3 linked regions of the Astyanax mexicanus genome follow. The protein of the gene in region 2 interacts with the protein of the main gene of each other region in a pairwise test. Links are inferred from orthologs where the notes say so. Each region holds a gene or a part of one and is shown on either strand. Other genes may lie near its edges.

Evidence for each region.
Region 1: the proteins of creb3l1 (region 2) and pgap2 interact in binary tests that used the Homo sapiens proteins (3 or more experiments, as listed by UniProt). The two-hybrid records come from large-scale screens. The link is inferred for Astyanax mexicanus from reciprocal best matches to the Homo sapiens genes CREB3L1 and PGAP2.
Region 3: the proteins of creb3l1 (region 2) and tmem218 interact in binary tests that used the Homo sapiens proteins (3 or more experiments, as listed by UniProt). The link is inferred for Astyanax mexicanus from reciprocal best matches to the Homo sapiens genes CREB3L1 and TMEM218.

Annotation. Positions count from the first base shown.
Region 1 is NC_064424.1:10,367,517-10,371,278, reverse strand, and holds the start of pgap2 (post-GPI attachment to proteins factor 2), read right to left. Parts: upstream 2,260-3,762; 5' UTR 1,805-2,259; coding exon 1,637-1,804; intron 1,442-1,636; exon of another isoform or gene 1-1,441.
Region 2 is NC_064430.1:14,611,617-14,615,378, reverse strand, and holds the start of creb3l1 (cyclic AMP-responsive element-binding protein 3-like protein 1), read right to left. Parts: upstream 2,357-3,762; 5' UTR 2,064-2,356; coding exon 1,962-2,063; intron 1-1,961.
Region 3 is NC_064427.1:33,393,062-33,396,823, reverse strand, and holds the start of tmem218 (transmembrane protein 218), read right to left. Parts: upstream 2,450-3,762; 5' UTR 1,950-2,449; coding exon 1,840-1,949; intron 604-1,839; coding exon 501-603; intron 1-500. UniProt on the Homo sapiens protein: May be involved in ciliary biogenesis or function.

The sequences.
Region 1 (3,762 bases), on a different chromosome or scaffold from region 2:
TCGACTGCTTGTTTGATATGGTTTTGTAGATGTAGGCTGTTATTAAATCGCTGGTCAGTGTCAAAACTGAAGCAGGGGCATTTGAAAACACCACACTGGCCAAACCGTGAAGGGTCAGGAGTGGCCTGAACATGTGTTGGATGCTGTAAAACAGAAAGCAACAAAACACAACATGAGCTTACAATTACTATATCGGTGCACATTAATTGTAACTACATTCAGTACAAAGGTAATAAATGTGCATCGACTTAACCCTCCTGTTACGTTACGGGTCAAATTGACCCATTTAGTAAGATAGTAAAAGTATTTTTTCTGTATGAAACGTCTTCAGCTTGCCTTTATTTGTATAATTAACATATAACATGAAAATGGTTAATTTCATATTTGCAACAACCCCCTGCAAAAACTAAAACTAAAACGAAATTGTAATGTTATGTTTCATTTATATGTAAAAATATTGTGTTGGTCATTTAAAGTAACAAAGTAGTAAAACAAAAAAAAAGTAAGATTTTTTAAAATGGAAAAACAAGTGAATTATCCTAATTGAACTATTACCTCTATTGTACACTATTGTACTAAATGTTGATAGAACAATCAGCAATGGAGTTAGTTATTAAATATTTACTCTTCTGGTTAGGATTATTTTGGTTTCAGAAATATTTTGGATAATTAAAAATGAACCAGGTCAAATTAACCCGGGAATACCATTGCTATTCCTGACAAATTAAATAGGAGGATTAAGCATTTCAAATATTTATTTGTATGACTAAGACTTTGAACCAATTTTAGTTAGCTAGATTATCTTGCTATCTTGTTGGCCAATTAACTTCTTGTATAGACAGTTTAAACAGTTTTTTAGGTTAGCTGACTATAACCCCTAGCTATGCCTTAAAAACAAAACTGATGCCTAGCTCACTACTAGCTATGAGAGTTTATCTGTGATACCATTAATTGGTAGCATTTTAGCCCATAAAACAGAAGGTAAGATAACTAAAGTTTGAATTAGACAAGACTGGGTGCAATTCTGCATTAGAATCCATCAAAAAAAAAAAACGGCAATATGACTAGCTAGAAGCAAACAAACCACATGGTACACGCGCCGATGTAGAACCTTCACAGTAAGGGTTCGTATCAACGACTCACTGTTTATTCATAAAATATAATATAGAAAAACAAGAGGACATTATAAAAATAGCTCTGTTAACTTAAAAAATAACTCAATATTTGTACTTACCGCCATAACCGGAGATATAAATCAGATAGATGCTTTAGCTGCTTTCTCGGCTATAATTCCTGTTTACCTGGAGTAAATGTAGGCGTTCGTGACGGACGTAAGGTGGGTGTTGCTTTAGACGTAAGGCGGAGTTGGACATGGGCGGAGTTGGATGTGGGCGGGGTTGGATGTCCAACTCCGCCTTCCTACAGGCTGCAGCGAGCGGCTCCTCGTTTTTCCAGTGTTTTTGCAGTGGATGGGGCCCTGCTACTGTTTCATTGCTTTATAAACTTGTTCATTGGCTGGTTCATAGTATATTCTGATGGACATCAAACAGTGTTATGTGCAAACAAAACATTTAAAAAATAAAGAAAATTAGTTAGTTAACGTTTAATTAGTAAGTTAGCTAGCTATAATACTCACCTGGCAGTGGGTATATGTGGCTTCATTGTAGTGATACAGCAGTGAAACCGTGATGCAGGTGATGAGTCCGAGCAGAGGCAGGCAGACAGTTAAAACAGCGAACAGGGTGAACGGCAGGCGGATCAGCGGTTTATCCCGGTCCACAGCTCCGTAGGGCACCTGTAGCATCCTGACAGCCGCTCTCACCGACTACATATTACTGCCAACTCCTCCCTCACACACTGACAACAGCGGGGAAACGGCGGCAGCCTGAATTCTACAGCCCATAACCCAGAACCAAGCCGTTTATAGCGCACAGCGAAGCTCTGAGGGGAGAAATTAACTCCGGAATTAAATTAGCACTATTTAATGAGCCTAGCACCGGTAAGCTCGAGACTCTACCTCTAGTTAGCCTAGCTCGCTAGCGTTAGCTACCTCTGTCGCCGCCTATTTCGGTCAATAAGACACTACTAAACAGCGTCTGTGGTATTAATAGCTAACACAGAGTGGTAACTATTTATTTCAATACAAATTATATAACAATTACTAGCAGAAACAGCTAAAAAACTATTGCTAGTAGAAGCTGACGAGGACGTTCACAATACAGCGTCCGGTTAGTGTTTTGTAAGGACTTTTATTTTAAAAACACAACTTCATACTAAAAGTCCGTTCTTTTACATACATATGTGTGGGCATCACTTTAAATGTTTAAACTTTAAACTGTTTGCTTACAAAAGTCAATATTCTCGAATTATTATTAATTATTATTAATTTTTTTTTAATATCGCTCAAAACCTAAGCCAATGGGGAAAAAATAGGAGTGAAATATAGTGATATTATTTTAGGTCCATATAGCACACCGACAAAAATGTATATTCTTTTTACATCAGTGGGATGATATTTTCCAATTAAATGCACTGTTAATTTTATACAAACTAACACCCAAATAATTCAAAACAGACAAATTATTAATCTTTTTCAGAAAGCGATCAGGGCAAGCTAGGGCTAGGAAAACAACCCAACAGCAGGGAAGGACAATGATAGAAATGCCTATGCATTTAGCATTAATCAGAATGAAAATAGGAATTCTGTTACGGGCTCTAAAATTTAAACATTAACGTGCATATGCATTTTTGTAATAGAGTTTTTCCACTGAAAGAATACAAAGTCTATGACTAGGATGACTGGAATTATAACTGACTCTAATGTTCTTAAATCTTAAAATATGTGATAATTCATAAAGCAGTTCGGATATCATAACCAATAACAACTGAATTATACAAAAAAGTAGTAATTTGCTAAATATACTAAATAAAAATAATCAAAGTGAAATATCTGTATATTTAATTCCTCACACATAAGAGTTGAACTTTTTTTAACATATGAAAACAATCTCTGGTTTTAACAGGTAAAAAAAAAAGCTGCTCAAGCAACAATTTTGCTAAAGATCAACAGTACATGCCATAGCATTATGTAAAAAATGTTTATTTTCACAGACATTATACTTTTCTTGCTTGTTAAACTCACTCACCACATTATTGGGAATGTTTTCCACTCCTCTTTAGGGAAATGATCATGTTGATTGGCTACAGTATTGTGCACCATATACAGTACTGAACAGTCACAGTCCAATGCATTTTTCTTCATGGCTTCAATCAGAATTTTCTCACACATTAATAAACCAGCCTTCACATAAAAACTGACTGTTCTCACTGACAGGATTATTCACCACAAAAGTACTGTCTATAGACATCTGATTACACTGCTGTTTTTTAGTCTTATACCAAGCCTTGACATTCACTGCTGATTTTCTGGATAACTTGGTGCATTACCATAAAAAATATTTGGGCCTTGTAAATGTGTAAAGATACCACAACCAATCACATCAATTTATTTTAAAAGAAAAAACAAAAAAGAAAAAAAGGAGGGTGTTTGTTTATTGACCGTTTAAACAAGGACACATTCCAGTATTCTCTCTTTCTTTTTGTGGGTGAGGAGAGAGAGAAAGAGAGAAGTGGGGATGGAAGTCTCCAGGTTCCAAATCCAGACTAGGTCTGGAAAGTGAGTATTTCTAGTTTAAGGGTCTATTTAACAATTCAACAACACGGATTTCCCACCTCTTCTCCCTCACTGATCCACCCTTTAGC
Region 2 (3,762 bases):
ATATCACCAACATTTTTGAATTACGTGAACAATATTATACCCTAAAATATCATACTATATCACCCACCCTAATTATCACATCAGGGTACTACTTTTTTGCTGTTTTTAGCCAAAGAAAAATTCACACTGTTCTCATTTCCCATTATATATCTACTAGAGACAGATTCTATCTGTCCAATATCATTTATTTTACTTTAATCCTGGATATATGAAGATATTTGGAGTGCATTATTAGTATCATGACATTCTGGATTATTCTTCTGTTACAAATCTGATAAAATTCTTGTATTTTTTAATATCTCAGTTAGGGGTGTGCCCTATCATATTATATGCAATAGTAAAATTTAATTTTTATTTTGTTGCAGTAGTTTATTCTTGCAATATATATTTTTTAATCAGTGTTTTATCGCCATGAGTATCGTTATCGTTAAAATACCATAATATATAGTGAATGTTTTGGCCACGGCATGTTTGTGCAGATGCATATTTGGGAATTCTATTGCACTCATCCAAAAAACTTTTTGCAAGCACTTCTTTATATGAGATTTTTAAAACTAAAGGAGGACTAACAGCTCAAAAAAAAAAAAAACAGGGGAAATAATACTGAATCTAAAACATAGAAGATGTACCATTTTATCTTTGTTCTTTTTCATTTTAACTTACTTCTTAATACCTTAACATCTTGATTGTATAGTCTTTTCACATACAACAATGCTTTTACTTTGCAAAAGTAAAATAAATGATGAACATGAATGTGAATTCATGCATGAGTGTGATAAAGTCAAGTAAAGTAAAGTTTACTGTCTTTCACTTCTGTGGGGGGAGGGGGTTAGTTCCTGTGTTTATGGTATTGGTAAATAGCCTAAGTGTAGGGGGTTAGTATAGGAGCAGTTACCCAAACCAGGATTAAGCCTAGTCTTGGACTACACCGCAGTTTTAATGATTTTTCACTGAAAGGAAATTATAGGGCTTAATAACTTTATTGCAAATATAGCATATTCACTTAAAGCAATGCTTTCACATTGTAAAAGTAAAATAAATGATGAGCATAAATGGGAACTTATGCATGAGTGTGATATAAAGTCAAGTAAAGTAAAGTTCACTGTCTTTTACTTCTGACCCCCAACGCAGATGAGAGTAGCAACCTGCTGTCTGTCTGATTAAACAGAAAAAGAGAGCCTCATCATCAGCCGGATGCAAGAAGCAGGATGGGGGCGTATGATGTGGGCGTGTCAGAGGCAGACATGCCCAGCCCACGCCCCGCCCCCCTTTGCGCTCTTGCTTGCTTGTGCTCACACAGCTGAGCAAACTTCACAGCTGGAGAAAGTCTTGACTGTGTTTAGATTTCGTTAGCACAAAATTCGCCAGATAAACACAAGAATAAGCGCAAGTGTAAGGAGTGACGCAGGATATGTACACTGTGTGTGTGTGTGTGTGTTTGGGGGGGTTAGTTCCTGTGTTTATGGTATTGGTATTGGTACACAGACTTAATGTAGGGGGTTAGTTATCCAAACCAGGATTAAACCTAGTCTTGGATTACACAGCAGGTTGAATGATTTTTTTAAGATTTTTCACTGAAAGGAAAAAAAACATAGGGCTTTAAACTTTATTGGTAAACTGACTGTCACATAGGGTTTAATATAAATAAATCGAGACTAACGATTAGATGCACGCATACTTAGTTATATACTAAGTATATATAAACACATTGATACTGAAACTATTGCAAAGAAAAACAAACTGTCAGATTTAGCATGTAAATACCGGTTTCTTGTGAAACTGCAACTTTTTATCATGAACATACCGGTTTCACATAGTCACCAGCTGTTTCCCTCAGAGCACAAACACACCATCATAACCATCCAATTCACCATCAGTATATAGTCTGTTATATTAGCCTGCAGAAATGACAGGATAAACAGTGAAAGAAGAATTAATGAAAGTGAATTATCTCCACTCACCACATTGGTAAGGAAATCACTCTCATTCAGGTCCTCCAGGTCCAACAGGTTGGAATTGGGGAAAAGTTTGTCCGAGGCAAAACTGTCCAATATGGTGTCCATATTGGGGGTGAATGGACTCAATCTTCTGGAAAAATGTCAGATATCTCAAGTAGCAGCTCAGACAACAAAATCTAGGAGTGAAATGTGATCTGAAACTACAGCCGCAGCGTTTCTCTCTGTAGCCTCAGCCGCCTCTAAGCTAGTCTGACCTGTGCTGTCGCCTTCATCCGAGAGCCTGTGTGTGTGTGTATGAGTGTGTGTGAGTGTGTGTGTGACCGCAGCTGGCTGCTGGCTGCTTCTCTCACTCTGCAGAAATCGCGTTGACTTGGATTAAAGCTACACGCTCCTCAAGCTGCGTCTTCATTCATCAGCAGCTCGGAGGAGCGAGCGTGCTCTCATGAATATTCAAATACACCCCGCCCGCTAGGGCGCTCTAGCCACGCCCAATTAAAGAGCCATGAACACAAGTCCAGACCTTTATGATAAAAGCATGACATTTGATACAAGTATAGAAACAATTAGATATTGGACTTTTTTTAAATATTTTTTTCTCTAGAAGTCCTCTTAAGTTTATATGAACTCTAACTATGTATTTTCTAACTGTTTCCGTTGCTTCTGTGGTGGATCTATGTGTTTATTAACCTTTTTAGGGATGTCATTGTATATATATATATATATATATATATATATATATATATATATATATATATATATATATATATATATATATATATATATATATTTGCTGCTTCACCCCTGTTTAAACATATATATACATATATGTATAAACAGGGGTGAAGCAGCAAATTCTGGGTCCTGTACACTCTCAATGTCAGTGGGCCCCTATCCATGTCAGTACACAAGGAACGTGAACGAAAAAAAAAAAAATCAGGATTTTCATGGGCCCCTTTCCCTACTCAGGCCCTGGGTAGTCAGTTCCACTTTTCCCCCTTTTTTATTGATTTAATCATTTGAACTCAAAGATTATTATTATTAGTAGTAGTAGTAGTACTATTATTATTATCACTTGTTAATAACAAGGAACACATTTTGATGTACAAATGTTTATTGGTTTTGTTTTTTATAAAGTGTATATGTACACACCTATGCACACAAACACATTGAAATAGTTACTGAGGCCAAAAGATGTATGGTCATATCAGTAAATCACAGGTTAATGCAGTTCATTCATTGTTGCATTACTTCCTTTTGCACTCATTTCTTTTAATAATACAATACTGGGAGGAAAGAATGTTCATGATGTGCTCTGCACTGTTTAGTCGCCTAAAGCTGGTTTCTGGTTTCAGTTGCTTTAGTCTAGTAAACAAAAGTGAGAGGCTAATGTTCTACTGAGTATGAGTATCTGTGGTACTCACAAAGACACATTTTTGGGAAGCATCCCAGCCAATATGTTCATGTGAGGGTCAAATGGGTAAAATGTGGGCTATAGGTGCATTTCAGGTGGGTTTGTACTGTACATATGATGTTACAGGACCTTGATTTAATCCCACATGGGTCCCATCTAGGTCCTGTGTGTATTGTACAGCCCAGATAGGGCTGACGTTTAACTCCTCATGGTCCCATTTAGGGCTGCCACAAACGATTATTTTTATAGTCGACTAATCACCGATTATTTTTTATGATTAGTCGACTAATCGGATCATACGTTAATTGAATATAAAACACAGTTTATCGCAATAGAATGCAGCTGCTATTATACAACCAACATTAGATTTCAGCTATATGCTAACTAAAAATA
Region 3 (3,762 bases), on a different chromosome or scaffold from region 2:
CCTCACGGGCCAGATATTTCATGCCTATTGCCGACCCCTGATCTATAGTTACAGGAGATATAGCAATCGCCAGCATAATTATTTGTGCCCACAGTTCATAGAGACGTGTGCATGTGAAAATATTATGCAATATTATGCAAATAAAAATATTTATTTGCAGAACATGTGAAATGCCTCAAATAACAAAAAAAAATATGCAGAGCTTTCAGGCCCCAAATAATGCAAAGAAAACAAGTTTATATTTATTAAGTTTTAAGAGTTCAGAAATCAATATTTGGTGGAATAACCCTGTTTTTTAATCAGTTTTTTTATCACATGTTCTCCTCCACCAGTCTTACACACTGCCACTCCTGGTTCAATTTGGTAAAATCAAAGAAATTCATAATTTTTAAGTGGTCTCTCATTTTTTTTCCCCAGAGCTGTAGGTGTGAACATGGGAAAACTACAATGGCAGATTTTAAACCAGCATGTCATCTACCGTTAGGATTAAAAGCACTGACCTGTACTTCTTTAACTGGGGAAGGAACTTCAGGGGCTCGTGGGAAGAACACAAGGATCAAGGTGATGGTAGAAGCCAGAAGAACAATGGGGATGATCAGCAGTCTGATGGAAGAATATAGTATTATTCTTTAAAAATCTTACAAATTTAATAAACATGTAAAGAAGCAAGGCTAAATTATAAGACATGTGGTAGGTAAAAGTTAAGGAATTAGAGTGTATTGATTTTAATAGGTACTAAAAACTGAACTTGAAATTATCAAATGCCTGAAGAGTGTGCATAATCTTTGTAATTTCCTTGTGGAACCCCAGTAAACTAGCCATCTGGGAACAGCTGATCAGTGCAAGATACGTGTTCAGGAAGAAGTGGAAATGCACTTATTAAGCTACCACCTTTATAACCACCATCTATTCTAAAGTAACATCAGCAAATATATGCAGCATGTATATCTTAAAATGACTGCTTCAAAATCATTGTGGTGCTCCACTAACCTTTAAATTCCATCCCTATCATAACTTATATTTGTTTTAAATCCGGTAATATCATTCTACTGAGGCAGCCAGTATGCTTCTTTAACTTTCAGATGCTGGATTCTTTTTCTCTCAGCTTAAAAATACAATTTTAAAGGAGCTAGTTTTATCTCCAGCACAAACCCAGCACACCACAAGGTCAGATGAACAAACACACATTCACACACTGTCCTGTAATGCACTCAGGATGTTTAATCCATTTTACTTAGGGGCTTCATGAGTTAAAATGACTGATGAGGAGCTGTAAGTAACTTTCCACATATTTTAAAGGGTCTGTGACACATACTTCATCGTGTATATGAGAATATTTAAAGATTATTATAAGTATATATAAGTATATATTAGTATAAATATAAGTATTTACTTTATTTTAACACACAGACAAACGCGTGGGCAGTGACAGATTTATGCATAGCACGGTGATTCTTATTAATTAATTAATTAATTAATTAACATATTTAAATAAATCATTTAACATTTTATTTGAATGTTGCTGCACATAATTCAGTTTAACATGATTTTTTACATTCTTTGTAATGAAATGTAAAGCTAGGTTATTGTTCTTTAAGTGCTGATGGTATCCTCTATATGCTAATTGTCAATATGATAAGAAAACGTATCACAGCATGGTAAGATATCAATATATTATCCAGCTCATTCAATTAAAACATATAATATACTAGTATAGTTTTAAAAGGGTTTGATTAGAGTACGAGAACCAAACTCTTTGGGTAGATAAGGAAAAAATATTAGCTTGTTATCTAGGTTAGCTGTACAGTTAATCTGATGCAGGATCATTATTTAGCTTACTTTGTTGGAGCGGAGGCTCTGGACAGCAGGAGGGTGAGAACAAGAGTCACGATCCAGACCAGAGCAATGAGGAAAACCCCGGTACCGACTCCCAGCACTGCTCCAGCCATACCTACCTAATCTGCCCCTTCCTAGCTAGTTAGCTACCTCACTTCTTCACCTGTAAAAACTCACCTCTAGGTACCTAGTACCTAGTTAACTTTTTAAAACCAGCCTGTACAGCGAACATTAGACCGCTTTAATCCACAGCCCTGTGTTACAATGATGCGTTTAGCTTAGCCAGGCTTTGTTTATGTAGTAAAAGACTGAAGAAAAAAAGCTTTTAGCGTTAGCTAATTTACTAGCTAGCCATAGTGTTATGTGTACCGTGAATTAAACTAATGGAACCGATAGCTAACGCTAGCTAACTCGCGCGTTAAGTCGTTTTTTTCCGGTTAACAAATTGGCCACTGCTGCTTATGCTGCTAATGCCTCACTCATTACTTATTATTAAACTTATCCCGTTTATCTGTACACATCCCTAATTCAGCGAGGCGACGCTTAAAACTCCATCATAACTGTTTACCCCTGGATACAGTAAGCGGCACAGCAACACTTCCTATGCTACCATAAACAGCCAACCACAGCCGTTGTTAGTCACACGAACTGCATGCTGGGAGATGTGGTTCATTAATGTATCTAAGGACTACAGAGATGCAGTCGGAGTGTTAAATATTAGCTAAAAATATATTTGCAAAAAGACTTGAAAATGTATTTAAAAATAGTAGTTTTTTTAAAAAAAAAGATTAGGATCTTTTTAAAAAGTAATTTGAATCTTTTTGAAACTTCTTAATGTTGAATATATTTTTTAAGGATTTCCAACAATTGTTTTCACATTTACAAACAATTTGATGTTGGATTTTTTTGAGGATACAACACTGTAAATAAGTCTTTTGAACAGTGATCAAAGTCTATAAATCTATTAAAAAACTAATACTGCATTATTTGTGTTGAATTGTATAATATTATAGTACTACTATTATTTCTGTACAATTTAACATCAGGTATCATGACAGTTATTAAGTATTCTTTAATATTATTGTGCAGGATTATAGTATAGTATTGCTATACAGTGTTATATAGTATATTATGGTATAGTATAGTTTTGTACAGTATAAGTGGTAAAAAAAGTACCATAGTCCTGGATAGTAACATACTCTAGTTGTATTATAGGTTGGTATTGCATAGTATACTCGTTATATACACAATACAATAGGTTGGTATTGTATAGTATACTAGTATAGTATATTAGTACACTATTGTTTTAGGATTATGTAGTCGTTTAGTTGTATGATAGTACAGTATGGTATCAGAGTTGTGTTATAGTACTAGAGGTATTGCATAGTATTACAATAGTAAGTAAGTAAGTAAGTCAAATTTATTCATAGAGCACATTTAAAACCAAAGTGCTTTACAATACAATTATTATATAGTCTCTTCGTTGTAATACAATATAGTATCATAGCTGTAGTTTTTACTAGTATATTGTTGTTGTAGAATTATGTAGTCTCTTAGTTGTATGATAGTATAGCATTGTATCATAGCTGTAGTATAGTTTTTTTTTATTTGTATTGTATAGTACACTAGTATACTCTTAATATAGGATTATATAGTCCCTTGGTGCAGGATAGTAGAGTAAAGTATCATAGCTGTACTATAGTTTTATATTGTATAGTATACTAGTGTACTCTTAATATAAAATAATGATGTAGTCTCTAAAGTATATGTTAGTACAGTTTAGTATCATAGCTGTAGTATAGTTTTTATTTGTATTGTATTGTTTTAGGATTATGTAGTCTCTTAGTTGTGTGATAGTACAGTATAGTATCAGTTGTACTGTAGTGAGAGTGATAAAGAACAGTATTAAAGTGCTTTTCGAGGAAG